Xenopus tropicalis: one gene and its partners. The protein of the gene in region 3 interacts with the protein of the main gene of each other region in a biochemical or structural test. Links are inferred from orthologs where the notes say so. Each region holds a gene or a part of one and is shown on either strand. Other genes may lie near its edges. The genes, in order: mylip, pcsk9 and ldlr.

Region 1 (11,158 bases), on a different chromosome or scaffold from region 3:
TACATGTCCTTTAAATACATAAAAAGGATAAGCAAGAGAACATGGGGTTTCCAGATGCCTTTATCCTTGTGAAAAGCCTATAGCAGGGCATGTAAACATATGCCTTAAACTACAACTCCCTGCCAGTAGCTGATGGGGGACTCTTAAAAGAGAAAACATATTGTAGTAGAAGATTGTTTCACTACCACACTTAGAACGTAAAGCCAATCTCCAGTGTTGTTTCCAGCATAACTTGTATAGCCATTACACAAATTAACAGACTGGCTCGTTGCTTGATTATACTTTCCTACAACAATTATACTATTACATATGCTACTGCCAGGGGTTGCGCATTCTAATGTATCTGTATTTTGGTTTTATGATAGGCTTTTTGGCATTAACCACAATTACCTTACCTATACAGTCTGCAGTAAACAAAACATAATGTGCCTCAAGGAATGAAATTCCCCAATAGCTTTGTTATTTTATATTAGGCAAGTGATGGTAAAGGGGGCATGGATACCAAAAGTTGGCACAGGCATGTCACCACAAAAGAATTCCAAAGTTCTCTCCTGCCGAGTTGCATTAACCTTTTCTGTATCCCCCTTCTTACTGGTAGCTGCTCTGAGTGATCGTATAAAACACAGTGCAGCAAAGAGGGTAAAAACTAAATTTTTGATTAAGAAAAAAAAAAATTCTGCACTATCACCTTAAGTTGAGATAAGTACAAGATTTACTAGAGGCCACTGGCTCAATTTCAGATTATGAGAAGCAGCTAGAGCGATTCCAGCCCAATGACACTACATCAGGCTGAAGCAAACATCTGTGGGAGGCTCAACAGGAATAACAAGACGAGTCTACTCTGAAGTTACTCAATAAAAATGAGTTGCATGAGTATTCATATACATTAAAAATAAGATTTAAAAAAAAAAACATACATACATGTGTGTACACATGGGTAAATTCCCCTTCCACTATCCTTCCCTCAAAACACTAATATCTCTTGTGCCAGACATTAAGCTATATATTTTTCTTCTGGCACTAGGAAAACATAACACACATCACTGTAGATGAGTGGTTCCCAGCTTCCTAATGCCGCAACCCTTAATACAGTTCCTCATATTGTGGTGACCCCCAACCATAAAATTATTCCTAAGACCATCAGAAATATGTGTCTTAGGTGACCCCTGTGAAAGGGTCGTTCGACCCCCAAAGGGGTCCCAACCCACAGGTTGAGGACCGTTGTTGTACATTGTAAGCTCTTGCAAGCAGGGCCCTTTGTTACTCTGTATACCCTTGTTTGTTGAACTTGATCAACAAAACATCCCTGCTTAACTTCGTAATTTGCTGGCACTATATAAATAAATGATGATGATGATGATGATGATGATAACATTCAAAATGTCTGTTGCAGCCCTAAAAGGAATTTTTGTCCCACCAGACTCCGTGGGACCACAAACTGCTTAATTTTAATACAATCTTAAATATGTTTATTGCTTTGAAGATTCACTAGTGCTTTAAAGCCTAAAGGTGACCATACGCGGGCAGATTTCAGCGGCCAATTCAGGTCCTTAAGGCAGCTTTATCGGTCCCCAACAGGCCTAACCGACCAAAAATTGGCCAGACCTTGAACGGCCAGGCTTGGTATTCTGTCAGATCAGGGGCCGCATCAGCTTGTTGATGTGGTCCTCAGTCCAACGGCGCCTAGGGCCAAACGATCCAATTAGCCCAATATCGCCCACCTTAGGTGGGCATATCGGGAGAAGATCCACTCATTTGGTAACCTCGCCAAAAGAGCGGATCTTACAGTTACAGCGAAGATATTTTCTCCATCTAAAAATGTCATGCTTAAATGACTGGCATACAAAGTTTTGTTACCACCGTGTTCTCAGGACTACAGTGTGCAAAATTGCCCTTCTCCACCTGCAGCCACTTCCCATTCATTTGAATAAAAAGTTTCTGCCAACAGCAATCGTTGGCTCTGGGATGTAGGTATAATTTGCTTTTACAATTACAGTATTTAAAATTAATTTACATTTTCCTTGAAGAACGTGGAGTTTATGTAAACCATTTTACATTTACCTCCATTATCAAATAGATAATTGCTGTTAAGAAAACATAACATATTCATGTTTATTAAGAAATAAGGAATGATGGTGCTTGTGAATGAAATAGTTAAGAAACAGATTGCCAGTAGGAATAAAAAGCTAATAAGGCCTCTGGAAAGCTATACATATGTAACAGAAACAGAATGTAATCTGGCACCTAATGCTGAAAAAACTTGAGCCTGTTTAAGAGGGAGGAGTTTCCTCCTCTACTGTACTTGTGGTTCTGAATGACCGGCAATAACAGAGTCTGGTATTTAAGGTTACTATAGGGCAAACTGCATGTGTCACTGCAACAAAATATTTAAAAATAAATAATTTCATTAGAAGAGCCCAGATCATCAAGTGGATACACTTTAGATCGGTCATTGTCAATGTTTTACTTTATATGTACATGCTAAAAATAAAAATGCACTGTTCTAAACTCCTCAGTTTAAATTCATAGACACTAGCAAAATTCTGGTCCACACAAAAAAATATTTGCATAATGAAAAAAAATGTAGTTCTAAGACACTTTCCAGTTTCTTTTGTATTCACAAACCTGGCATTAAGACAAGTTTGGAGTTTGGAATTCATTAAACAACAAATTCATAATCACCTGGTTGCTATTTAAAGCATGAATTTGTGTAGTTAAAAATGGCTATTAAATGTACAAACAACATTAAAATAACTGTATAAATGACATCTGTTGATCTGCGTTTGCAATGTCCTACTCTGTCTTTCCTGCAGCTGTTTTGGCCATATTCCAAGTCCCAGCAATTTTACCCAGAAATGGGAGCCTTCACCGGCTCTTACCTTGTCTGTTCCTGCAAGATTAGATGTGGCTCCACAAAGAACTTCACTTTCAGCTTTAACCTGAAAGGCGCCAGACCATCCATCTGTTGCGATATTCGATTTCGGAGATTCAGCCATAGATTTTCTCCTTTGTTACCACTAAATTGCAGCCCAAAGTAATCTCCTTCAATAATCCCTAACCTTTTGCAAACCTGGTACAGAGAAAGAAAATACTTCATTCAGTAATCATAATAAGATATGGTCTAGTATACCAATATATAGCAAAATAACATATTCCAGTACTCTCAGGTAGCTAGCCTTGATAAATATAAAGTTGATGAGACTATCACTTCCTTAACATAAAGTAGATTTTAAAGTACAGGTGCACTTGCTTGCAAACCAAAAGACAATGTACTAATAAAGCTTTTTTAAGGCAAAGAAACTTATAAAATACAGTAGTAACAGATACATTACTTGCAATATTTACTTTATCAGACAATTTAACGATGAAGCAGCTGATAAAAGATATGAAGCTGGCCAGCCTTCTTTACTTTGGAACAAATACTAGATAAAGCAGTAATGGTGGGTTTGTGCAATACAGTAAGTGGAAAACAGTAACAGAAGGGGAAAACATCCTAAGGGCTCTGGCACACGGGGAGATTAGTCGCCCGCGACAAATCTCCCTGTTCGCGGGCGACTAATCTCCCAGAGTTGCCATCCCACCGGCGAAAATGTAAGTCGCCAGTGGGATGGCACACGCGGTGGCGTGATTTCGGCAAATCACCGAAAATGCCTCGCGAGACAACTTTATCGATTTGCCGAAATCGCCTTCGCAGCGTGTACCATCCCACCGGCGACTTACATGTTCGCCGGTGGGATGGTAGTTTGGGGAGATTAGTCACCCGTGACAAGGGAGATTTGTCGCGGGCAACTAATCTCCCCGTGTGCCAGAGCCCTAAACTATACGGGTAAGAACCCACAGAGCGAGTTATTCACCCACTGGCAACAAAGGAAGTCGCCAGTGGAAAGCCTGTCACATTGCTTCATTTTCCTAAGTCACGCAAAGTTGCCTGCAGGAGGAAACTTCACGCCACTTCAGATTACCGAAGTGATGTGAAGGGCTTTCCGCGACTTCTATTGTTGCCAGTGAAAAGCAAGTAACTTGCACCGTGGGTTCTTACCCCAAAGGCAGTTGCACATGTGGAGATTAGTCGTCCAGGATAAATCTTTGCTATTGCGGGCAACTAATCTCCTTTAAAATGCCATCCCACCGGCAAGAATGTAAATCGCCAGTGGGATGACATATGCATCGCTTTGGTTCCCCAAAGTCATCTGAAGTTTCCTTGGGAGGCAACTTCGGGAAACAGAAGCGAAGCATATTTTCATCCCAATGGCGATTTACATTCTTGACGGTGGGATGGCATTACAGGGAGATTAGTCGCTCATGGTAACAAAGATTTATTGCGGTCAACTAATCTCCCCGTGTGCCACTGCCCTAAGAGTGAAGACACATGGAGCTACAGTAGCAGCTACTTGTCACAGCTACAAAAATAGACAATGCTGATCATTTACTGATAATTGTCTCTGTGTGTGTTTTAGCAGAGGCAATTTTTAGTACTGTCTATGGCAGGGGATTTAGGGCATTTAGTAGCTGCTACTAAGTAGTTCTGTGTGTCTTCACCCTTAGGGCCATGACAGACGTGGAGATAAGTCGCCGCGCGTCAAATCTCCCCGAAAATGCCATCCCACCGGCTAGAATGTAAATCGCCGGTGGGATGGCATATGCGGCGCCAAAATCGCTGAAGTATCCTCAAAAGGCGCAGCAACTAATCTCCCCATCTGTCACGGCCCTTATATGTACAGCACAAATTATTTTTAGTTTAATGTTGTATTCCCTTACTGAATAGAAAGTTCTTTCTATCACAACCTAAATTCTCCTTGTTGTGCTAAAACATGGGTCACGATTCTGCACAAACCATCCTAGAATAAAAGCTTTGTACCTAGATGATATACTACAGTCTGCAAAGGTTGATATTTACCTAAAACAAAAGATCCTTGGGAATAGTTACAGGGCTGCATGTTGAAAAGAGGTTTAAAATTGTTTACCAAGAATTGCAAAATAGTTTATATTTACATAGTAGAGGGTTTTGAAGCCAAATGTATATATGTATTTGCACGGACACCCATATACAAAAATGAGGAATGGTTTTCTCTTTTCTAAAGGCAATTTTATGAACTACACCTGATGTTGTGAATATAAATGTGTTAAAAAAAAAAAAAAAATGATCTTAAGTAACCTTATCCGAGAAAGCTCATTTAGATTCATTCAGTGACAAGAGCCAGGAATACATTTAAAGAGAAAATACACCGCCTTTTTTTTATATAAGCTCATTCAATGTGCATAAACACTATCTGAACTTACACAAATAAATATACTTTTTTTTTTTTGTTTAATACACATAACTGATTACGGACTATGATACTTGGACTAAACATTTCCCAGCAAATCTTTGCAATGTAATGCAACCCCCACTTCATCTTGTTTCACTGTAAAGGTATGGATTCTGGGACTTGGAAGTCCCTCTGCTTTCCACAGTGGGTGCTGCACAGAATCTCTGGAAAGCAGAGAGTCTTCAAGCTTTTTAGAGGAATGGGGAACTCATTTCTGGGAACCAGGATAGGCAATCATGTTTTCCTTTGGAATCAGTTAAATCTCTGTAAAAAAAATATACATTTATATTTATTTGTGAAACTTCAGGAAATGTTATGTACATTTTCTACATAAGCCCAACAACACAATACACACACCTAAGCAACATGCTGCACACTGAGGTGCAGGGTGGTATTTACAAGTAGAGGGACATTCTTGCATCAGTAATGGCGCAGACCTTGCACTACACCACATCTTGTTTCCTTATTTCTTCCGTTACCCACATATGCACAAAGCTCACCTCTTCCTCATAGATTTATACCACAATAAATCAACACATCTCGGTGTCACTTATAACAATAATCGCAAATGTTTCCTAACAGGTAACTGCTAACAAAGTTAATGAGCCATTGCAGTCAGCTGTCAGCACCACATTTACCTTTCTACAGAGCTTCACAAACCAAGCATGCAAACCCCACCAGGTTCAGCTGTGAATACATAAAAAACCATTTAGATACTTTATATTGCTGGCCAGTCTTTTATAATAAACAGAATAGAAAGCTGGAGCCCAACAGCATCAGACTGAAAGTTACTGCTATACATTGGGAGTCCCATTTGGCACAGGACACAGGGCCAGGTGAATGTATGTAAGTAGCCAGGTGGTATGCGTACTCTTCTCTCCTACTTAGCTGGTGTGTTTGGGTGAATACAAATGAGACAAGCTAGCCCAGACGTTTGGCACAGGGCTGATAGCCCAAGGCTAGAGAAGCGTAGGCCTGCTAACTAGGAGCACCAGGGTGCTGTTATTCTGCACAGAGGTAAGTGCTGGGGCGCAAAGCTCCATAGGACAAACAAGTATTAGAAGTGGAATGAGAGGCAGCCTCAGAGCACTGACGAATGGGAAACTTGCCTCACTGTGGATGATCCTACATACAAGCACCCATGGCTCCCACAAGGGTCACGTCTCGAACCCAATTACCTGATTGAGACAGTCTTCTCCATTCGCCTTCGCATCCACTTCTACCTCCATAACCACCGCATCCGGCCTCGTCACATAGCACAGCATGGCAGTACGGGGGGGATGCCAGGATCCTTCTGCTTCACTGAAGCCTAACAGACAGCCTCCCGTGCTGTCTCTCCCGCTCCTAAATTACCGACGACCCTGTCTCCTGTATGCACCCAACTGTATGTGCATGTATAAAAAGCGCGTAGGAGGGCGCTTGCTTCCAGCACCATCAGCACAAGGATATCACTAGTCTGATAATAACCCTCCCACTGCCTGTAACTTACTTATGCCCTCCTCCTCACCAAGGCCCGCCCCCGCACGCTTATTGGCTCTCTGGCCGCTGGAATACTGTAACCGGAGCCTGGAGCTTGCGTTTAGAAAGGACCTTCGGCGGTGAGGGGCTGGCATGGGGTTACAGCATGTACTGTCTCGCTTCTGTACAAGCACAGACAGTCTGCTGGCTACTGAGTGCTCTTTACATGTGCAGCTTGCCAGCTTTTCCGTTTCTTGTTATTCTTCTTCTTAATTTGTTCTTCATTTTCGAAAAGTAATAAATTATCATCATAATCTAAAATATGGTTGTTATCAGTCTGATACCACGATCGATGGTCCTTGTTTTTGATCCCATGTTTGAAAATGGTCTGACATCGCAAAGATTAAAAATAACTTAAAAATCACACAGCATAGAGACCCATTGTGTGGAACCCTGCCGATATTTACCTTTTGTTTATATGTACTGGGACTGCTGGGAGTTTCACTAACTAGGTCTGACATTCACAACAATTTAGTACTTTTTAGAGGGGAAAATAAAGAGAAGTAATATCAAGTAACAATTTAACCAGATAGCATTTTATATTGCAAGCCACAGGTTAAAAGAGGCAGAAGATTGACGCAGATACATAACCTGTTTTTAAATGCCAGTCAGAGCCCAGATCCTTATGTTCTACTGTACTGTATAACATCCCAATGGTACTTGTCAGTGACATCCTGAGAGGGAGGGGCAACAGCACTGACATCACTAAAAGTGGAGGGGTTTCTTGAGGCATCTGACCTGCCACCCACCTGAACCAGAGCAAGCAAACCCTATCAGAGACTTGAACCTGGGCATCACTAGCAGAAGAGGAGCATAATGAACGCCAACTAAAAAATTGCTTAGAATAGGCCATTTTATAACATACTAAAAGTTAAAGGAGAAGGAAAGGCTAAGTCACTTGGGGGTGCCAAAATGTTAAGCACCCCCAAGTGACTTTAATTGCTTACGTTGTACCCCGGGCTGGTGCCCCTGTTAGGAGAAAACAGCACCAGCCCGGGGTACCTGGAGCGATGCGCTTCCTCCTTCCTTCTTCGTTTTGCTGCAACTAACACAATAGGCGCATGCGCAGTAGAGTGAAAAGCCGACTTCTCTGTTAAAGTTCCACTATTCACTCTACTGCGCATGCGCGTGCGAGCGATACAGGATGGAGGAAGCGCTGCAGATACCCCGGGCTGGTGCTTCAACTTTTGCATATTTTCTGTGACTTTTTCGTACAAAATCGCATTGTCGGGCCGAGTACGAAAGTTTTGGATTTATTCAAGCTACAGTATTGTGATTTTCCTTGGGCGAAGTTGGAGCTGCAGAGTGCCATTGAGTCCTATGGGAGGCTTCGAAAATCATGCACTGAAGGTTCAAAGTCAGAAAGGTTTTCCTGCATTTTACGATCATTCAGATACGAAAAAATTTAACTTTTTGGCCATTATACAATCATATACAATTTTTCCGTATTTTCAAATGTATTTTATACGGTTTTTTTGTATCGTGCTTTTTTTTTTTTTTTTAAGGTTGATTTTTATTGAGTTTTACAACAACAGTGGGAATGGGGAAGGGGAGAAAAGGAGGGGGGGGAAAGAAAGGGGGTTAAGAGAGTAACGGTTGTTACAATAGAGTAGCTGGTGAGTCAGTCCAAGGAGACCAAATATTTTCAAACTTCGCCGGGCATCCTCTGGCAAGATATGTAAGTTTGTATAGGTCTAGTTGAGAGTTGACCAGGGCAATCCATCTTCGGAGTGTTGGAGGTGAGGGGCTCATCCAATGTAGGGCAATGGTTTTTTTTGCGTAAAATAGTAACAGTCTCATTAGTAATTTAGAATTTCTGCTGTGTACCAGAGAGTCTAGGAGGCCCAGTATGCAGGTGGTTGGATTGAATATTTGGGGGAGATTCAGTTCCGTACCCATGAATTCTGTAATTTTATGCCAAAACTGTTGAAGTACGGGGCAGTCCCATATCAGGTGCATAAAGTTAGCCATAGGCGCTTTGCATCTTGGGCAGTTCGCTGATTCGGTTTTCCCCATGATGTGTAGCTTTTGCGGGGTGAGATAGGTCTGGTGTACAATTTTAAAGTGTATAAGCTTATCCCTTGTGCTTATTAAGGGTTGATAGAGGTTGCTAATGACCTCGTCCCAGTCCTCGGGGTCTAGATGTACCCCAGAAGTTTCCCATTTAAGCTTGATATCTTTTAGCGATCAGGATTTTGTAAGAGTTTGAGAGCAGTTTGGCTTTGTTTTCTTGTGCTGCCAGCCGTTCTAGGTCTAAGTGCTGGATATTCGGAGGTTGTTGAAACTGTGCGCTACATAAATGTGTAATCTGTGCATATCTAAGGTTAGACAAGCCGGGTCGGGGGATAATTTGCTGCAAAGAAGGTAGGGTATGTAGTTCTCCATTTGTGTATAAATGATCTATACGTTTTACCCCAAGTTTAGCCCAGGATCCTGCTTCTGGGAAGGAAGCGAATTTCTGTAGGTTGCTATTTCCCCATAGTGGGGCGTCAGGTGATATTATTCCTGTTTTATTGGTTAATAGGGTCATGGAATCCCATGCTTTTTTGGTGGCATCTGAAACTGGGAGTAGTGGGCTAATATCCCTTCTTGTTCTATACAGGGCATTGTGCATGCTTTCTATTGAGGAGAAGTAGAGGCCTTCTAAAATTGAAGCTGGGTTCTCGGGGTCAAACACTTTCCAATTTGCGACATGGGCACACTGGGAAGCTAAATAGTAGAGCTCGTAGTTAGGGGATGCTAGACCTAGTTGGTCTTGCGGGGCATTCAGAGTGTACCTTGAGAGCGTTGGGGATTTGTTACCCCAGATAAAAGCAGATTGGGCTCGGTTTATTACTAGTAGAAAGCTTTTAGGTATGTGACATGGGGTATTACTGAATTGATATAGAAATTTCGGCAGGAAGATCATTTTGCATATATTGATTCTTCCTATTAGTGTGAGTGGTAGTTTTGTCCAGTGTTTGAGAGACTCTGAAAATTTGTTATATAGTGGGCGTAGGTTATGTTCAAGGAATTGGGCTGGTTCTTTATGAACCGTTATTCCCAAGTATTTGAAGCTGTCAGCAACTTTGAGGGTGCAATCTGGGTCTGTCATTGTGGGGGTTTGGCCATCTAGGGGGAAGATTATGGATTTTTCCCAATTGATCTGTAAGCCTGAGTATATACCAAAGGACTTGATTATGTGTAGTACTGTTTGAAATGAGCCATTGGGGTCTGCAAGATATAGCAGCGTGTCATCTGCGTATAAAGAAATTTTCTCTTCAACAGTTTTATATATGAGTCCTTTGACTTGCTGGGAGTGTCTAATCAGGATTGCCATGGGTTCAATCGCTAGGGCGAAGAGTAGTGGGGAGAGGGGGCATCCTTGACGGGTACCTCTAGTGAGTTGGAATGAGGTGGATAGAATTCCATTTACTTTGACGGCCGCTTTGGGTTCACTGTACATCAGTTTAAGCCACTTAGCAAAAGAAGGGCCAAACCCCATTCTGACAACTACCTTCCAAAGATAGGGCCATTCAATCGAGTCAAAGGCTTTGGCCGTGTCTAAGGATACTATCAGTCTGGAGCCCTTGTTATCATGAGGTAGTTGCAGATTGAGGAATAATCTCCAAAGGTTAAAGCTTGTGGATTTTGCTGGCATGAATCCAGTTTGGTCCGGTTCTACTAGTGTGGATATGACTTTTGCTAATCGTTTTGCTAGGATTTTGGCGAGGATTTTGATCTCTATATTTAGTAACGAGATTGGCCTGTATGAGGAGCATAGAGTTGGATCTTTCCCAGGTTTGGGAATGACTACAATGGTTGCTTCTGAGAATGACTTGGGGAGTGAGAATTCCTCAAAGGCATGGAGAAGTGTTTCGTGTAATTTTGGGACTATTTCTCGAATATGGGTCCGGTACCATTCTACAGTAAAGCCGTCTGGGCCTGGGGATTTATTTGCGGGGAAGGACATGATAGCTTCTGCTATGTCAAATTGGGTAATAGGAGAGTCCATATATCTTGATTGCATGCGTGATAGCTTGGGTAAAGAAATTTTGTTAAGGTAGTTATGTAACTCCGTATTGGAGTAGCGGGCAGTGGAAGTGTAGAGTGAGGTATAGAATTTGTTAAATTCTGCTGCTATGTCTACGGGGGCAAGTAGTGGCTCTCCATTGGAGGATAGTATTTTGGGAACAGCCGTGGTGCTCTCGAGTGGCTTGGCCAAGAAAGCCAATGGTTTGCCATTTTTATCACCGTAGGCGAACATAGTGCTAGCCGTATAGAGGAGTTGTTTTTTGGTTAAGTTTATTCTGTGGAGATTGAGCTGTCTAAGGGCGTCTGCAAAGTTAGCG
Region 2 (10,389 bases), on a different chromosome or scaffold from region 3:
TTCTGTTTTAAGCTATTTTGTATTATGTAGTTTTGTTGATCTGTAGATGGCGCTGTTTGCAAATGTTTAAAAGGAAATGTATTCATTAGCCCAGTGTTTTTCAACCTTTTTTGGGCAAAGGCACACTTGTTTCATGAAAAAAATCACGAGGCACACCACCATTAGAAAATGTTAAAAAATGTAACTCTGTGCCCAGCAGCAGTGCCCCCCTAGTACATTGGTGCCAAGAGCAGTGCCCCCCTAGTACATTGGTGCCCTGCCTACGGCACACCAGGCAACATCTCGCGGCACACTAGTGTGCCGCGGAACAGTGGTTGAAAAACGCTGCATTAGCCTATGATAAAGGGGTCAAACCTGAAACACAGCAGGCTTTTCTGTATCGCAGTAGCTACCCATGGTTTTAAGTAACTAACAAAGGACAGTTTTTTTTATCAGAGTAGGATGCAGGCTTTTTTCCTCCCTTTTTGCTGCTGCCATTTACACAGCATTGGAGCACTGCGCTGGATTGGTGAGCACCCACCTCTTCTGATTTTCCCTGTTTAAGGAAGATGCCACGAAGGGGCTGAGTCTATGCGGATATTATTTTATTCTGCAGTTCTAAGTCAAAATATGTGTGTAGCACACAATAAACCAATATCATTTATTACATCAGTGCTGTATGATATGGATGCGTAACCAGCGCCGCCATCGAGGAGGTGGGGGGTGGGGAGAGGGTACTACTGTACTAGGCCTGGTGAAATCTTTGAAATTAGGGCCCGGCTGCAAAGTTACGTATAAAGTTACAGCAATGCAAAATTTACGTAAACAAAAACTGCTTAAAAACATACATAACTTTACAATTTACATAAGTTACATTACTTTCAAAGAACTTGTAAATTCCACTGGCCCCAAATTAAAATACTGATTTATTAGCACATTAATTATTTTTACTATATTTATTAACTACTACTACTAGTTATTAGGCCCCACAGCATTGGGCCCCTAAACATGCAGTTTATATAACTTATTTAAAGACGTTTGTAACTTTCATATCAAGCAATGACAATGCAGAGCAGGGGCAGGAAGGAGTATTGGGTATAAATTTAGAGCTTTGACCCCCAATGAACTGACCGCTAATTAGTGTATTGATTAATGGAACTCTTTATATATTATAGCAGTGTTTTCCAACTTCTGTGGAACCGAGGGCCGTCAATTTTATAGCAGTTGCAGCAGTGTGTACCAATTTGTATTTTTTCATTGACTAACATTGTGCTGTATCTCAGACAGTTGTGTTTATAATATTCTGACTATATGATGAAGGGTTCCTCTCAGATTTTGTCAACTTGTTTTTAAGGTATTTTTTTAGTGGATGTAATAAATGGTATTGGTTTTGCTACTTAGTTTATTGCATGCTACATTCATATATTTAATTTATTAACTTTCTGGATAGCAGAATTTAATAGGTATGGGAATGACTTTTCAAATGTAGTATTTCAGGTTGACACTCCTCTTATTAGAAATAATTGGTGCCTTCCATACAAAATAGCTTTTTAATGTGTATAGTCTTGCCAACAGAGTTGTGTCACAAATACACACTGTAAGAAATCCAATGCATTTACTACTAAATACCCAGGTATCATAGAATTCTATTGAGCAGTGGAAGTGCTTTGGTGCAGCACGTTCAGTTGGCAATTAAACAACGTAGCTAGGCCCACAGGCTGCTCATTCAAGTGCTCATCGTGTTCCATATCTACCCACCTCTATGTGTTCTCCTTTTCTTTTCCCATTCCTGGAGAAACTGGAACAGCTGAACATCTCTTCATTCCCACTGCACTGAACTGAGGTTGTTGCTTTACGAGCAAAGCCAGATGGTTTTGACCAAACTGTACGACAAAAAAGCTCCTCATCTGAAAAGAGGTATGAATGATGATGTGATGCAAAATTTTGAATTTGAGTAGTCTCAATTAGACACTGTTTTAAGGTTGCCCAGAACAGAGACACAGTTAAGGTTTTTAGTCTATAGAAATAACTATCCATTTAGCAAAATATAAAAGGGCTGATTTATCATCGTTCAAATTTGCCATGATACTTAATTCTTTGCGCTAAAAACTCATGAATACGAATTTGGGCTTCCAAATTACTCTCAAATAATTTTAAATTTAGCATCTAAAAGCTTTAGAATTCATGTAAAAGATGATGGTAGTGGTCTTAGGCCAAATGTAGGCCATTAGAATTCTTCAAATTTTCTTTTTTGAGAGTTTGTAGACCCATTGAAAATGAGGCATAGACTATGAATTTGATGCAATCAGTTTTTTTTTCATGGTTTTATTCAGTTGTGTTTTTTAGATTACTTTTTTTTTAATAAAAAAAAAAAAAGCAAACATTTGGTTTTTATAAAATGTTTATTTGAATTCAAAAATAATCTAAAATTCACAAATTTGAATTTTAAGCCACTAAGTTATAAAAGGGACAACATTACTGAGACAATATTTAATAATATAATGACAATAATAATAAGAGCTTTTAGCAACCTACCTGTGAGAAGCTTCACAGGGAGCCCTGCAACTCGATTAGGAGTGATCAGCCTCTGATCCTCTGGGAACGAGACTTCATTTATGGCTTTTTTGGTAGAGAAATGTATGAGTCTCTGCCTTAATTCTGACACTGATAGGTCTGGTTTGTCATTTAATATCATTGCTGCAATGCCTGGAAGATACACATTTTATCACAATCAGTTTGAATACAAAACAAAAAGAATCTGATTAGACTTTCTTTGATGTGTTGTGAGATAAACTTTAGGCAATGCCACCCCAGGGGAGTCTGGGATAGTGCATATGGAGGCCAAGCCTTATTGCAAGCTACAGTGAGGCACTACAAGGCTGAAATCCAGAAAGAATGTGACTTGGATTAAACATTGTTGTAGTGTGTGACATAAACAGCTTAGAAAAGCTCTGTTTGTACCTGCCACATGTGCGGCTGCTTGGGATGTTCCACTTTTTGAAGTAAAGCAGGTGCTGCAGTCACTGGAGGCACCTATGATATCATCTCCAGGGGCAAATAAGTCAACACAGTTTCCATAATTTGTGCCAAGTACACCCATTGTTGCAGGTTGGTCCTGGTAGTTAGTGGCTCCAACTGTAATAACCTGTTTATTAGAATACTCACACATCAGCCATATTTAATCACAAAAAAAAAAAAATTCATAGTACAAACTTGGTCTCTGTGAGCTGCAAACAGTCAAATTCATTTAGGTTCTCATGTTTCTACTGTTTTGTTTTAGGGGTGGTCATTAATATACATTTAGACACACCAAACAGTGATATAAATCACAATAAATTGCTGACTTGGGTCAAAGCAGGAGAAACATGAAAGTGACTAGCAACATGAGAGAGACATTACCTCAGGTTCTGATGCTGGGGAGTACAAACAGGCATCATCCTTATAGTTTCCAGCTGCAGAAATTATGATAACTCCTGTATTGACCAGGGCACGACTGGCAGCATTCAGTATCCGGCTGTACCCTCCAACAAAGGGGATGAGGACAATCAGCGGGTTATAAGGCTGTTCAATCAATGTTTTTCTGATAAACTCCAGACCTGGAAGAAGGCAAAATTTATTATGACGCCAAGCCATAATAGACAAACAGTAGTTGTATATTGAGCAATGGTGTTTAATTCTCTTCATGATTATTGCATTTACTGGTCTGTTGTTTAAATGCAAACATATTATTTATTGCTAAGGGTTACTAGACCTCTAGCAAACATTGTGAATATCCAAGGACAATTTTAATACATAGTGAACTATCATATTTCTTATCACATTCAGGGCCAGACCTGCCTTGCCTTGGTTTGGTTTTAAGATTGGCCTTTTTTATTAACATTATTATTATTAACTTGTATAACTGTACAGTTATAGGTGTATACATTAAACATACAGATTTACATACAAAAACAGCCAATAACTGATAGGGGTGGGGAGGGCCTGTGGCCTAAACCTTAGCTTAAAAATCACTGGTAAGCAAAAGGCACATTACAGAGGCACATACATTACATACAGGAACCATTACATTGCACTCACAGAGTGCAAGAACAAGTTTTTATTATGAAAAATCTGTTATTCAAAAAGCATGCAAAACACTAGTTATTTTAACTGAAATATAAAGTAATTACCACTTTTGAGTACATTACCACCTGTAAAGATGCTAAAAGTATATGAGCAAATGAGTGTGTAAATTAGTTTGAGTAAAAGACAAGTCTGGCCCAAGGAAGGGACGGGCAAAATATAATGGGATTATAGACAAAGCTGGGCAATGGAAGAAACAAAGTATGGATGGAGTAATTACATTTCAGGCCTGTGATTCACTCCAAAGTCCTAAAAGCTGGAAATTGATTGGGAAACCTCTCCTTTATGTTGCTGAATTGTAAATGTTTCATGTGGCTAGCTCTCACAGACATGGTATATGGCATCATTATATAAAACAAGACTATACTTTAACAAACAGTCACTTTTTGGGAATGGGGAATTACACTAAAACTGTAATTGTATTTACAGAAAATATAGCAAAGCACTGAACTGATCCTTGAATACAAGCTCTGCTTCTTATGAAGATGTGCCAGAACCACTGCACTTCTGCACCCTATTTACCAAATTCCTACTCATTACCTAGAGTTTAAAGCAACACAAAAATGTGAATCTGTATCAGATATAGCAAACCCACATACACTTACCTGTTAGACTTCCACTTACTGTGCCTTTGCCTTGACAATTTAGTACTCTAAGGCTGCGGACATTTACGCCTTTAGCTACACCGGCATCTCTTCCATTTACCACTCCAGCCATATGGGTTCCATGACTTTCACATTTACTAGCCTACCAGAAAATGATGAGATCATTAGAAGACACACAAATGTGCTCTGTAGATACTGCTCAAACAACAGTGACCAGAGAATCAAGCTAAAACCCAAAGCTATAATTAGTGTTATGGAGGCAATTTAACTTAACCCAAAGGCACACAGAGTATTTTAGTACCTTGAGTTTGTGGCCCAGAGCAAATGCCCTGCCCTGAAACCAACCCTGATTATAGGCAAAATTGGAAAAGTTCAGTTTTAAATCTGATCTCATTTCAGAACCCTTGCTGATGTGCATAGTTGATAACTGATAAGACCTATTCATTGCAGATTGCTGAGTTTTTTCTGCTGGCTGGGCCTCTGCTGGGCATTAAGAAATGATGCACTACAGAGTCAAGCTGGTATCTTCTGCACTAGCCAGAATCCGAATACATTATATTTTAACTAGGGATGCACTGCATCCAGGATTCAGTTCAGGATTTGGCTTAATCCATGCTTCTGGCCAAACCAAATCTGAATCCTTAAAATCACATGACATTTTGTTCCATAAACACGGAAGTTGAACATTTTTCACTACATGCTTCACACAATGGTTCTCTTTAACCCTTCCTTATCCTAGTTTGCATTTGCAAATTAGGATTCAGATTAGGTTCAGTATTCAGACAAATCTTTAACAAAAAGTTTGGCTGGATCCTAAAATAGTGGATTTACTGCATCCCTAACTATTTATGTGCAGAATGCACAGAAGAAACATACGCAGCGCGCAAGGGAGTGTGGCACAAATATTACATAAGTCACCTGTCGGTGGAAGCGGGTTCCATCTTCCTCTGGGACATTCTGGAAATCTGTCACAAACACTTTTCCTTCTATTTCTCTGTGGTTACTCTGAATACTGGTGTCTAAGAGATAAACCTCAACAGAATCTCCCGTATCTATGAGATAAACAACAAGCCAACATATTGAGAAAATGGGGTAGAACCAGCAGCTAGAACTGTATTAATAATGACATTGCACAGCAATGAAAAAGGAGGACTTGTACTCATATAAAGAACATAACTTTATATAAGGAGGTAATTGGATATTTTTTCAAAAAGATACATTGGGCATAAACAGTTGTTATGTTGGGATCATGCTACTGTATTGTGTATGGTGTCTCTTATACCCATTGTGCCACATGTGCAAGTACTTGAAGGCAGCTCTGCTGGCAGGGCTCCTCATAACATTTTTTTTTATATAAGATCATTTTTGTAAGTTTCAGGGTTGTCTCTATAAACAAGATGCCAATGAATACATATACTGCTTGACACCTGCTGTCCTGGCCTGAGCTATGTACATTTCATAAGCAATTCCTTTTGTGAGCTGTATTTATTTAAGTGTTACTTTCTGATAATGACATTTTCCTTTCTGCTACTGTGAAAAATGCCACTGGGAAGAACCCAAGGATACATAAATAGTTCTTACTAGGTGGGCTGAATTGGTTGGCCATTTGCTGGGCAGGGACAATCCTGTCAAGGTTCCATGGAACACTCTGTGCAAATACAAATGAATCTTCCTCTATATAATCCACATGTGGCAATTTCAGAGCCTGAAAAGAAAGAGACACAGAACATTTGCTTTTCCTGAAAGGCAATTATAGCATATACAGTCAACAAGGAATGTGAGGGCCCATTGTGTCCAGTAGTGCAAATCATTTACAAACTAAAAAAAAGTGTAAATATAAGGGTATTTCCAGGCTGGTACCTTGGACTTTACAGACCTGATGCAACAATCAACATCACATGAAGATAAGGTCTCACACCCACAGTATTTTCCAACTAACATGTTTATATAATAATCTTTGATGTTATTGAAACGGGTAATTCACCTTAATACAAACTTTCATTATTAACTTGTACTTTTAACTATTATAGTAGAACCACAATTTTGAGTTTTTCAGGGGATCAGGAAAACATTGTGTGAAATGAGTGAGTTTTACTTTGGAATATAATATTGGCTTTGTTAGTAACAAGGGCTGAGCATTGCAGCATCAATGTTACAATAAGGGAGGCATGTGCAAGATCTGTCTGGCAGTCAGTACACACCCTAAAGCAATAAGTGATTTGTGCATGACTTAATGAGGAGCAGAGTAATTGGAATTGACTATTTACAGACAGAACCATGGCAAAGTATTCATCTTGTTAGTACATTTTTGGCCCTGGCATTCCATGTACACTGTGGCCCTACCAGCTTGGATATACCTAGTATAGTATGTTTGAACTGTATGAGTTTTTTTAAAAAACATATAGACTAGAGGAATGCAGAATGAGTACAGTACTTTTCATGCCTGCAAAACTTACCATCTCTAATAAGTCACTACTCATTTTCACAACAAACCCTCGGAAAAGTTCATGGAAGACGTTAACAATTTTGGTCAGGTAGCCATGCTTTGCTGCTCTTGCCTGCAGCCGGCGGATGACTCTCTCTGTCTGGGACCTGTGAATATTTTCTTTCAACACCACCACATACTGGCCTGCAGTTCTCCAGGCCTCCTACAAAAGAACATCACAGTTTTTGCTGGGGTTAAATATTTTATAATCTTACGGAATTAAATCTTGTTTTTGTACATTTCTTTGAGAAATTGAAATGCTGGAGATTTAAGAGAATTGACTTCTTTTGTACAGGTATGCAATCTCTTATCCGTAAATGGGAATCATAGAAAGGCCATGAAGCCCATTTTAAGCAAAGAATTCTAATTTTTAAAAATAATTTCCTCTTTCCCTTTAATAATAAACAAGTACTTCGTACTTGATCATAACTAAGCTGCTTGAGTCAATATTGGTGGCAAAGTCTACATTTATTTATGTTTAAATGTTTCTCTAAACCAAATTACAACAGATCCCTTTTCTGGAAAACCCTAGGGCAGTGATCCCCAATCAGTAGCTCGGGGCAACATGTTGCTCCCCAACCCCTTGGATGTTGCTCTCAAACAAGATTTGCTACCAAATAAAACCCCCTTTAAGATTACAGTGTGCATAGAGGTTCCCTAATAGCCAATCTTAGCCCTTATTTGGCACCTCCATTAACTTTTATGGTTCTTGTGTTGTCTTGTCTTTGATTGTGGCTCACAAGGAACAAAGGTTGGGGACCCCTGCCCTAGGGCATCCTGCATAATAGATCCCATACCTGTATATTGCCCTAGCACCATGTGCACCATACAGCTAAAGGGGAGTGGATGTGGGCGTATTACTTAAGAACATAATCAACATTTTTACATGAAAACATAAAGTGAGGCCATGTGTATAGGGAGCAGATTCATCAACAGCACAGTCAGACAGAACATAACATGAAGCAGTAACAGTAAAACATTTATAACCAAAGACACTATGTAAGCGTCTTTCCTTTGCATGACATGGTGCTTAACTCCATGGTGCTTTGTATCTAAGGTTTATTGTCTTCTGAATTACATATAATAGTTTCTTTGAGTGGAGAACTAAAGGGCCTATTGTTGGTCACATTAGATGTAGGGCAAGTACATACACTCATTACAACTGATTTCATTAAGAAAGTAGAGAAAGAAAATAAAATGGAGTATAACATTCTGAATCTTAGCATCATAATAATATTAAAACAAAGACTTAAATTACCTTATTACTCCAGTAGAAAGCCCCAATAGATGTCTCCTTCTCCATATCTACTTGGGCTTCTTCTTGCATGGCAAAGGACAGAACAATTTCTTCTCCATAATCATCTTCATCTGCCATAACCCAGTTGGGCCTTAGAGGAAGAAGACAGAATAGAAGGAAAAGGGGGGCAGAATACATCATCTTGGGTAAAGAAATGTTAAAATGATATAGAGGGAGAAGAAGTAAGCAGATATAAGTGGCAGTCACTAAACAGCAGGGATATCTAAGATGCCATATGCCTGCTAGAGAATACTATAAGGAAATGAAAGGCTGCCAAGGGGCCCAGATATTCTGGTACAAACGCATAAGAAAAAGGACACAAAATTACAAAGTCTGCTATTTGCCGTTCAGATTTGGGAAGGGAGGAGTCACATCACACCACTTGTTGTCTGATCGGATGATCCTGTCTGGTTACTGATTACCTGGGTTTTCTTATGTTGGGTTCATTCCTAGAGTCAAATTACAAGAAAAAAAATTTCGAAATATCTTTTGTGTGCATGTCAGGTGTAATGCCGCCCCCTCACACAATGTTCACAGGGCTCTGCATGTTGCATTCCACACTACACAAACAAAACATGGCAGGCAAACAAATTACTACTTCACACACAATGTTACAATGAATGCAGTGTACAGATGCTCTAGGCATCCTACACATTAGCACGTTATATCTTTTGGACCACATGTGTTATCTTTATGACTCTTATATAACACATTTTCAATCACTTTTTACACTTAATTTTGTTGGCCTAGAAGTTAAGTGATCAGCCTTTGATTGGGGATCTCATGCTAGTGACCCTGGTTGGATTCCCTGTGACAATTACTTGTAACCCTGGACAAGCCACTTAATCTCCTGGTGTCCCAACCTACTTAGTGAGCCTATAATGGATGCCTTGCTTGTTGTAAAGCACTTTCAGTTCATGGGAGAAAAATGCTATATAAATCCCTTACTCTTTTATACACAATAAAACCTAGACTAGTAATTACTTCAGAAAAACTCTTCAGTTGTACCTTGTATTTCTTATGTTTAATGATTGTCTCTGAATATCTCTGATGTAGTGATTCAAGAATAGGACAATGGGTCATTGGACAGAAAAAAAAAAATCAGAAAGGAAGAGCAAACTTTTTGATGTCTTCTCCGTTATTTTGGTTCTGATGCCTTCACAGTGACATCCAAATTTGTTTCTTCTGCTAGGCTATATCTTCTGTCCACTGTATTGTACACCAGTGTAACATAAGGTTTAGGACCATGAAACACAGATAGTTTGATTGAACTCTTGTTCTTTTGCTTGATGGTTTGATTGAACTCTTGATTCTCATTTCAAAATATGGGAGCAATTGCATATGGCAGACATCCGGTGTGCCACAGATCTCAAGTTTCCTATACAGAAGTATCATCCATCATCATATATCCCTTAGTTAAAGTCAAAGAAAATCATTTTATAAGGAAATTCAAGTACCTTTTATTGGAAATATTCTTTCACAATATCAAACAGCCACCATGCATGAAAATAATTTGATGTCTCCCACCAGCAGAACAAATAACAGCAAAGGAAAGGGGCCTTACATCAACAAGAAAACTGCTCAGACAAGCAGATGCACCACCTATAATTTAATCATGTTGGGTGCACAGTTTTTCACATACATGGTCAAATGAATGGACTGGATAGACCCCAATTTTGTTGAAACATTTAGATTCTGAACTAACCTTGGGCTTCATAGTGCAACACCTAAGATCTATTTGTGGGGAAAAACATGCATTTTTCCAGTCTAAAATGATATATGGTGGCAAAGCCTGTTAATCTACATTTTGAGCCTAGGTAGGAACACAACTAGAGGCATAAAGCATCCCCAGCAAAAAAGGGAAAACATTCTAAATTGTTTTCTCTTCTTCTGCTGCTGGC
Region 3 (9,380 bases):
AGACTGTGAAAATGGTTCTGATGAGAATGACTGTAGTAAGTATTAATGTTTAAGCAGAATTAAAGCTGGGCACACATTTAGATCCATTATGAATTAATTGTTGTCCCAGGCCGACCCCCTCATTTGACAACCTCGTCAAATGAGAAGTTTGGCACCGGGACAACAATTGGTTCATAATGAAAGCCTAAGGAGACCTACTAGTCATGGAAGGCATCTCCTTAGACCACCATTATAATGCAACCTTAACCCAAGGGGATTTTTAAATCAGCAATATATGGGTCAGGCAGGCTGTCAGGAGGGCCCCCCAATAAGCAGCTGGCTCAGTCTGGAGGGGACAAGTTGGCAGGTCTTTTGGCCCATCTTTGTCTGACTGTCCCTCCTTTTTTGTTTCTGCCCTGAACTTTAATAATTATTATTTAATCCTTTCATCCTTTAGCTCGTAAGGTGTGTGCTGATGACCAGTTTACATGCCGAAGTGGGAAATGCATCTCCCTTGACTTTGTTTGCGATGAAGACCTGGACTGTGATGACGGTAGCGATGAGAGTTATTGTCCAGCCCCCACTTGCAACCCAGCCATGTTTCAGTGTAAAGATAAAGGCATTTGCATCCCTAAATTGTGGGCCTGTGACGGGGACCCCGACTGCGAAGATGGTTCAGATGAACAGCACTGCGAGGGGAGGGAACCCATCAAGACTGACAAGCCCTGCTCTCCCCTTGAGTTCCACTGTGGGAGTGGAGAATGCATACACATGTCCTGGAAATGCGATGGGGGATACGACTGCAAGGATAAATCCGATGAGAAGGACTGTGGTAGGTATCACCCTGTGAGGTTTGACATATTATCATATATTCATATACTCTGAGGCTTAGAATATTATACTCCATTTTAAAATGTATCTCCATTTTGTAACTGCAGACTGGAAGACTTGACATCCCATAATAAGTTGGTTTCTCTCAAATAGTGACTCTGCACGGCTTGCACATTATGAAATACATATTAATTATCTTATCGGTTATATTCCTGTTCGGCACAAGCAATCCTTGAAGGCCATTCTTGAAACTACAGTGGTCTTTCTATTTGTTATAATACACTCCTATGTATTTGCACTTACTCAGAAGGTTATAAAAGCTATGAGCGCGTAACAATAAATTGAACAAGTTTGAACTGCCTCTGTGGTTGCGTCCTTCTTGTTCCCGTATATACGTCTTTGTCCTGGCAGTAGAGCTGCCACAGGTCCCTACACTTTTAGTGAGCTGTCGGGAACCCTAAAACACCTCTACCCTCCTGCAAAGATACAGTGGCACGGTGCTGTGTGCATCTAGGGTAAGATAACCACTTTGTTATTCACTCCTATCTCTATCTCTCTTCAGTGAAACCCACTTGCCGCCCGGATGAGTTCCAGTGTAACGATGGGACGTGCATTCATGGCAGCCGCCAGTGTGACCGAGAATATGACTGCAAAGATCTTAGCGATGAGGAGGGTTGTGTTAATGGTGAGCATCTCATTTGCCCAGACTGAAAAAAATATAGCATGTGGCCCATTTTGTTTGTAAAACTGCTGTTCCTTTAATGGACATTGTTTAACAAACCAGTACTGTAGAAGTGTTCATGGTCATTACTGTATTTGCCATAAGGTTCATAGAGTTTATGTCCGAACTGCCAAGCTGAAAATGATTGATTCTTACCTACATATGGCATATATGTATGGTCACACGTGATCTTTAATAATAAGGTGTCTATTTTGTTTTTCTACAAACAGTGACAAAATGTGAAGGCCCTGATGTATTCAAATGCCGCTCTGGGGAGTGTATCACAATGGACAAAGTCTGCAACAAGAAAAGAGATTGCAGGGACTGGTCAGATGAACCCATCAAGGAGTGTGGTGAGTATCAACCTGTGTCACATAAGGACTAATCACGGCACTTGCCTCGTTCCTTAATCATGATATTTAACACCAACCCTTTCTCTTCAGGTGAAAACGAGTGCATGCGAAACAACGGCGGCTGCGCCCACATCTGCAATGATCTTAAAATAGGATATGAGTGTTTGTGCAACGAAGGGTACAGACTTGTGGACAAGAAACGCTGTGAAGGTAATTTTAGCTTTTTTTGGAACTTTTTAGCATCAGAGTTTTTTTTTTTTGGATCTTTGTAGCATCAAAGGTACTCAGAGTACTTCAAATCCAGTCTAATGTTTTCTTTCCCTTCTTTTCTTTTATCCAGATATTAATGAATGTGAGAACCCCAATACCTGCAGTCAGATTTGCATCAATCTTGATGGAGGCTACAAGTGTGAATGCAGAGAAGGTTATCAGATGGACCCAGTGACTGCATCCTGCAAATCCATCGGTAAGTACAATGCCAAGCCTGCCTGTGGGCTTTAGAGCTTCTTTGTGCTTGTCATCTGTCAAAATATCCCATGGTCTGATCTGTTGTTTCATTCCTGTGCACGTGTAGGAACTGTGGCTTACCTGTTCTTCACAAACCGGCACGAGGTGAGGAAGATGACGCTGGATCGGAGCGAATACACAAGCTTTATCCCTCGCCTTAAGAATGTGGTGGCTTTGGATATGGAGATTGCCAGCAACAAAATCTATTGGTCTGACCTGACTCAGAGGAAAATATACAGGTAATGGCGAGACTGGCGTTGCTGCTTTACACCCCAAACTAGTTCTCCTATATGAAGGGTGGATGCCCTCTCAGATCAACCTCTTGCATGGTAAAGAATGCCCAGTCATGTACCCTCTAAATACTGCATATGTTGTTCACCTTTTAAATTAACTTTTAGTATGATGCAGAGAGTGCTATACTGAGACAGTTTGCAGTTGGTCTTCATATTTGCGGTTTTGGAATTAATTAGGTTTTTATTTAGCAGCTCTCTAGTTTGGAATTTCAGCTGTAGCCTGGTTGCTAGGGTCCAGTTTAACCTAGCAACCAGGCAGTGGTTTGAAAGAGAGACAGGGCTATGAATAGTGGAGGGCCTGTATAGGAAGATTAGTAATAGAAAGTAACAAAAAGAAAGTGACCATTTGAAAGCTGGAAAGGTGAATAGGAAATCAAATAATTAAAAATGGAGACCAATTGAAAAGATTCTACAAATAGACTATAACATACTAAAAGCTAACCTGAAAGTGAGCCACCCCTTTAAGTGAGCTTATTACATTTACAAAGGTCTAATATGTCATTTCTTCCCAACCATAATTAGTGCATCGATGGATAAGGCAGACAACACGTCCCACCACGAAACTGTGATTAGCAGCCAAATCCAGGCTCCTGATGGCATTGCAGTGGACTGGATCCACGGGAACATCTATTGGACAGACTCTAAGTTCAGCACCATTTCTGTGGCCAACACAGAGGGATCAAAAAGGAAAACTCTTTTCAGTGACGATCTGGCAAAGCCAAGGGACATTGTGGTGGATCCTTCTCAAGGGTAAGTCAGGTGGAAATTACTTGTGTTATATTACACTGCAACAGAACTGGGAATTAGAAGGACGGCATGATGCTCATAGGGGCCAGTAATAGGGCTTAGTCTTGGTTGTATACAAAATAAAATGAAGGCTATGAATACAGTGTTAGTGAGAGAAGTGATCCCTTTTGGCGATGTTTATGATGCCGTGTAAGTGTGTCAGAGATCCCGTTAGCTCTGTGTTGTATATAAACCTATACATTGTTACCTGCTGCAGCCTTAAATGTTTTTTTTTTTTTTTTTTTAATTACAGGTTTATGTACTGGACTGACTGGGGCCTCCCAGCCAAGATTGAGAAAGGAGGCTTGAATGGAGTTGACAGATACCCCTTGGTTACAGAGAACATTGAATGGCCCAACGGCATCACATTAGGTGAGCAATCTTTTACCTGCGGATTACTCCGCATACTTACTGTTCCATAAGCTGGTCTTCCTATTGTAACAATTTCAATTTTCATGATGACATTCTCCCTTGTGTTGTATATTTAGACTTAACCAACCAACGGCTATACTGGGTGGACTCTAAGCTTCACTCTCTGTCCTGTATTGATGTCACTGGGCAGAACAGAATAACGGTCATATCAGACGAGACCCACCTGGCTCATCCTTTTGGGCTCACCGTCTTTGAGGTAAGCTGATAATGATACCCAGGCTTTGCCCAGCACACAAATAATAAAAAATAGTGTGGGGCAGCATAGGCTGTTATCTTATGAGCAGATTGGCATCAGATAATTATGGGATGGAGGTACCATGTGTAATCTCATGAAGTACATGTGCTGACGACGACCCCTCTTTCTTTTAGGATCTTGTATTCTGGACTGACATTGAAAATGAGGCCATCTTTAGCGCAAACAGACTGACTGGCAGCAATATCACGAAAGTAGCAGAAGATCTCTTGTCTCCAGAGGACATTGTCTTGTACCACAACCTGAGGCAACCGAAAGGTATGAGCCACCCTTACAGCTTTAATTGTCTGCAATTAGATGGTTTTATTGCTGAAATTCACCCATTAGGTTTTAGGGCCCAACAGATGTTCTTAAATAGGATGATTAGAGCTGCCTTCTGCCATGTTGCTCCTGTTTTTTCAGTCCAGGGGAATTGAGTGCACTCTGAATAGTGAGATGGTCTGTCAGTGCTTCCACATAAGAGGCGCACATAGTGGCGGGAGGGGCAGGGGGACCTGTTCTCCCAAGGGGCCTGCTGGGGCACATTAGCACCGTGTTTTATATAGGGGTATAAATGTATGGTAGAAAATGATTGCCCCACTATGTGGCTCCTTACTTACCTTTCTATAGTTATAAGTCCAGCAGTGTTACCTTGTACTCTCTCTTCTGTGTCCAATGAATTTAAACTCATCAATTTTTTTTCTGCCACAGCTGAAAATTGGTGTGAATCTCACCACCTTGGCAATGGCGGCTGCGAGTACCTGTGCCTTCCAGCACCGCTCATTACCTCACGTTCTCCCAAATTCACCTGTGCTTGTCCAGATGGGATGCACCTGGGGGCAGACATGAGGAGCTGCGTGAAAGGTAGGCCCCTTGCTTCAGATCTCTCGGAACGGTTCTCTGTGTTCCAGGTTGGCTAACTTTTTTGTGCTGGCTATTCAAAAGAAACCTATTCTGATTTATTGTGTCCTTACTTTCCAGAACCAGTGTTACCAGAGACCTCTACCACAACCACCACTTCAGCACCAGTCACAACCACTACAACAACACGTCCCACTACTAGGAGCACAACACTGGCTAAGATTACTTCAACTACCTCAACTGTTGCTCCACAGAGACCAAAAATGGCCAGCACCACTGTAGCACCACCAAGGCCTACCACAGAATCCCCTAAAACAACCCAGAGAATGGTTACAGAAAGAGTCCCTGATCGTACCACATGGGAGCCTGTGACTCATTCACAACTAGGTATGCACAGTCGGTGGGGACGGTGGGGGGTGCAGTTATGTATTCTCACCTGATATTGACTTATGTTTATGTAACATGTTTTGCTAACTGCATTTTTTCCCTTCCTGTAGCTGGAAATAAATTTGCTAATGAAGGAGTAGTTGAAAGTGCCCGATCCCATCCCACTGCTCTCTACATTGTGCTCCCTATTGGTGAGTTCCTCACTTAATCCATGAGCTTCTCTGCGATGAATGTACTTGGGTATAGATGACTTATTTGTACTGTGTAGTTTTGTCACGATGTCGGGTGGCAGTGAGGCTATTGAATGTCACCTGAAACCTTCGCTGCTAAACATACCTGCCATTTGGCCGGGACCATAATGTCGTCCCAACACATTTGTCTTGTGAGCGTTTGGCTACTAGTGGAGGTGTTGGCTGCCATGTCCAGAGCCTCCTTTTTCGGCCCACTTAAATCTATCCAGTTACAGTAACTCCTACTTTACACTGACTATGCTTGGCACCATGGCAGGTTCTAATAGAACCCAAAACTTGACTTCTGTAAGCCTTTATCATGTCAGCCTTTATACAGAACATTGAAACAAGGACAGGGTAGTGTTGTTTCTAAAGGCAAAATATTGCAATTGGTCTAACTTTTTAATGCTTTTCTCATTCTAGTGATACTTTGCCTTGTTGCCTTCGGGGGATTCCTCCTCTGGAAGAACTGGAGATTAAAAAATACAAACAGCATAAACTTTGATAATCCCGTGTACCAAAAAACAACCGAGGAAGACCAGATTCACATCGGCAGAAGTCAGGATGGATACACCTACCCTTCGGTGAGCATAATCCCACTTCTAATGTATCCATTCAATGAAGGCGCAAATTTGGTTTTGTTTGTTCCCTTGAACATTCAGCTAAGGCTCAATGGTCCTTTAATGCTCTTTAAGGGGAAATATATACCCACCCAAACAACGATGGGCTTTTTCTATTTTAGCTTTTGTGATATTAGCAGTTTAACACTGCCAATATCATGAATGTGTTACAGGAATGCTGTCTGCTGGGGGGGGGGGGGGCAGAAGCTTACATTACTGAAGCAGGAGGCGTCTCTTGATACTTTTATGCAAAATTCTGTTGATCAATAGGATAAGAGCAATGGCACTGAGTAGTAGGTTTTTTTTAATCAATGGAGAGCACACTGCTAGATGGAAAATGAAAACTAATAAGGTAGAATAAGGTGCAATAAAGCCCAAATATACTTCCCCCTCCCCACCCCCAGGTACATCAAACTAAATAGAGAAGTAGGGCTTGCACTCAAATAAAGCAATACACACCAGTGGTATTATCACAATAAAAATATCTTCATAAGGTGTTAAATGATAACAACACAGCACAATATTGCTCTTATGTTGAAAATACAACCACATATAATACATACCACCAGATAAGCAAGATAAGGTGGATACCCCCAGTAGCTTTTATTTGTTTAGCAGCTCTTCGGTTTGGAATTTCCACAGCTCTCTGGTTGCTATGGTTCAATTCAACCTAGGAACCAGGCAGTGGTTTAAAATAGAGACAGAGAAATCAGTAGAGGAGGGCCTAAATAAAAAGATAAGCAATGAAAAATAACAAAAACAATACAATTGTAGACTCACAGGGCAACAGTTTTTGGTCAGAAGAGGAGAACAATTCAAAAAGCATACAAAATAAAAAATGAAGACCAACTGAAAAAGTTGGTAATAACAGTCCATTCTATAACATAGTGAAAGTGAGCCACCCCTTTAATTATCTGACAGCTAGTCCATCAGACAGAACAGCAGGGGGTGCTCCAGTTGCAAAATCCATGATAGTAGTAGTGTAAAAATGGTAATATCATAACTAAAAGAATGTCAATTGCTCAGAAGAGCAGCTTTAAATGAAATTGTTCAATTTAACAGAGGGGGCCTATACCCATGTATACAAAGTGCTGTGTTTTTGGGACCAGCCCCCCTGTTGTGTGTTTTTCTCTATATAATTGAAATGAATGCTAATGCTAAGATCGGTCTGTACTGGTCACTAACGTGTTTCTGTGTTTCCCATTCACAGAGGCAGATGGTGAGCTTGGAAGATGACATTGCTTGAACAACTTGACCACTCGTGTGCCTGTCGCCAAATGTTGCTGCTTACTGTTTCAGGGACAATACAAATAACGACGAAACCAAAACACACTTTTTTTTTTTTGTACATTAGTTGTCACTAAGTCCAACCCACGCAGCCCAAACGTTGATTCGTCCTCGGCGATTCCTAAGACTCAACCTACAAATCGCCCGTGGACTTCACTTTTTTTTTGTGTCTGAGATAATTCTATTTAAGTTTAATTTTTTCTTTTTTTTTTACTGTGCCATGTTTTATGCTCTATTGCACACTAGTAATGTGACAATTCCCCTCGGAAACGAGAGATCTTACACGAAGGAATACGGAAACACAATGGCGAAACTGCACTAGGGGGGACTGTGAAGGACTTACCTACAATCCTGGCTGGGGTTATATCTGTCTTTTGTTTTGTTTTAAAAGCACAATATCTTGAAGAAAAAAAAAAAACACTAAAAAGAACCAAACTCTGAACGGGAGGGACCCGGTGGGGGAGCAGAACTTGCAGCTTTTTTTGTTTTCTATATAGACTTGTGGACGTCCCAATCTGCTCAGGTTGTCGGAGAATGTTTACTACCTTTTTTCGGGTAGCCATATTTGGCACTGCCTTCCTGATAGGATGTAGCAAAGTGACAAAGGCCACTAATTACCCACAAGTGCCTGGTTCTACCATCATTCTTTTGCAGCGGTTCCACTGTTGCCCCCGCCCTCCGCCTGCACTTTTTCCCCCCCCCTCTCTCCTGCGTTTGTATGTTTGTTGCACAGAGTTGTCAATTCTTCAGCTTCCTTCTATTCACCGTACTCATGGAACAGGGTATGACGGCAGAAGCGACTTTTTTTGTTTTTGTTTGGGATTTGGATAGACTGAATGGTTCTAGGGCTTCGAGTCTGAACGTTTGTGATGTCATCGGAACGCTGTCCCGCGGATCAGCACCTAACGAGGTTAAACCGTGCCTGTTACTACTGCTGCCTTAATTGCTTCCCGGTGCAGAACTGAGCTATCGTCGCGTATATTTTTTTTTTCCTCGAAAAATCTCAGGTTTTACAATCGTTGGTTCTGAATGGATGATTTGGGACACGCCTTCTCCGAAATCCCGCCTCTGCTCTTTGTATGCAAGTATCCCTTTTTCTGCAGTATTGAAACGAATCCGTCCTGCCCGAGCCTTGGAAAGAGAGTGCTTTCTTATATATTTTTTTTTTTTGTTCTGAAGGGTGTAAATATTTGTTTCTGTACAGTGTATTGCACAATGTATTTCCTGTATGTATATTTTTTGTCATTCCTGGGAAAGAAAAGATTAATATATAATTTATTTATTTCCTAAGCTTCCACGAGTCTCATGGTTTTTATTTTGGGCTTTAATCTAAAATGGAACTTCTTTCTTTGAACTATGATCCGGCCTGAGCCCTTCCTGCCATAACTGGGTTCTGGACATTTATCTCAGAGAACATTAATGCTCACTTAAAGGAACAGTAACACCAAAAAAATGTATAAAAGTAATTTAATATATTAATGCTGTATTGCCCTGCACTGGTAAACGTTGTCTGTTTGCTTCAAATCCTTACTATAGTTTATATAAACAAAGCTGCTGTGTAGCCCTGGGGGACAGCCATTCTAAGGAGAAAATTCACAGGTTACTTAGCAGATAACCGATAAATAGAGCTTATCTGTTATCTGCTATATAACCTGTGCCTTGTTCCAGCTTAAAATGGCTGCCTCCAGGGCTAAACAGCAGGGTATTTATATAAACTATAGTAAGGTTTCTGTAGCAAACACCCCAGCTGTACCAGTGCAGGAATGGCTGCCCCCGGGGCTACACAGCGGGGTATTTATATAAACTATAGTAGGGTTTCTGTAGCAAACACCCCAGCTGTACCAGTGCAGGAATGGCTGCC

The links.
Region 1: of the proteins of ldlr (region 3) and mylip, one has a biochemical effect on the other in vitro, tested with the Homo sapiens proteins (4 studies listed by BioGRID, with this or other methods). The link is inferred for Xenopus tropicalis from reciprocal best matches to the Homo sapiens genes LDLR and MYLIP.
Region 2: the proteins of ldlr (region 3) and pcsk9 form a complex in vitro, tested with the Homo sapiens proteins (3 studies listed by IntAct, with this or other methods). The link is inferred for Xenopus tropicalis from reciprocal best matches to the Homo sapiens genes LDLR and PCSK9.

What each region holds. Positions count from the first base shown.
Region 1 is NC_030682.2:92,599,583-92,610,740, forward strand, and holds the start of mylip (E3 ubiquitin-protein ligase MYLIP), read right to left. Parts: upstream 6,728-11,158; 5' UTR 6,575-6,727; coding exon 6,488-6,574; intron 3,071-6,487; coding exon 2,880-3,070; intron 1-2,879. UniProt on the Homo sapiens protein: E3 ubiquitin-protein ligase that mediates ubiquitination and subsequent proteasomal degradation of myosin regulatory light chain (MRLC), LDLR, VLDLR and LRP8. Activity depends on E2 enzymes of the UBE2D family.
Region 2 is NC_030680.2:97,734,824-97,745,212, reverse strand, and holds the start of pcsk9 (proprotein convertase subtilisin/kexin type 9), read right to left. Parts: upstream 8,840-10,389; 5' UTR 8,630-8,839; coding exon 8,450-8,629; intron 7,355-8,449; coding exon 7,163-7,354; intron 6,412-7,162; coding exon 6,288-6,411; intron 5,759-6,287; coding exon 5,625-5,758; intron 4,849-5,624; coding exon 4,707-4,848; intron 3,576-4,706; coding exon 3,379-3,575; intron 3,125-3,378; coding exon 2,941-3,124; intron 2,686-2,940; coding exon 2,515-2,685; intron 1,887-2,514; coding exon 1,738-1,886; intron 1-1,737.
Region 3 is NC_030679.2:138,978,135-138,987,514, forward strand, and holds the end of ldlr (low-density lipoprotein receptor), read left to right. Parts: coding exon 1-35; intron 36-436; coding exon 437-811; intron 812-1,372; coding exon 1,373-1,495; intron 1,496-1,761; coding exon 1,762-1,884; intron 1,885-1,974; coding exon 1,975-2,094; intron 2,095-2,224; coding exon 2,225-2,350; intron 2,351-2,458; coding exon 2,459-2,630; intron 2,631-3,206; coding exon 3,207-3,434; intron 3,435-3,723; coding exon 3,724-3,842; intron 3,843-3,958; coding exon 3,959-4,098; intron 4,099-4,271; coding exon 4,272-4,413; intron 4,414-4,845; coding exon 4,846-4,998; intron 4,999-5,115; coding exon 5,116-5,382; intron 5,383-5,492; coding exon 5,493-5,573; intron 5,574-6,035; coding exon 6,036-6,196; intron 6,197-7,442; coding exon 7,443-7,478; 3' UTR 7,479-8,810; downstream 8,811-9,380.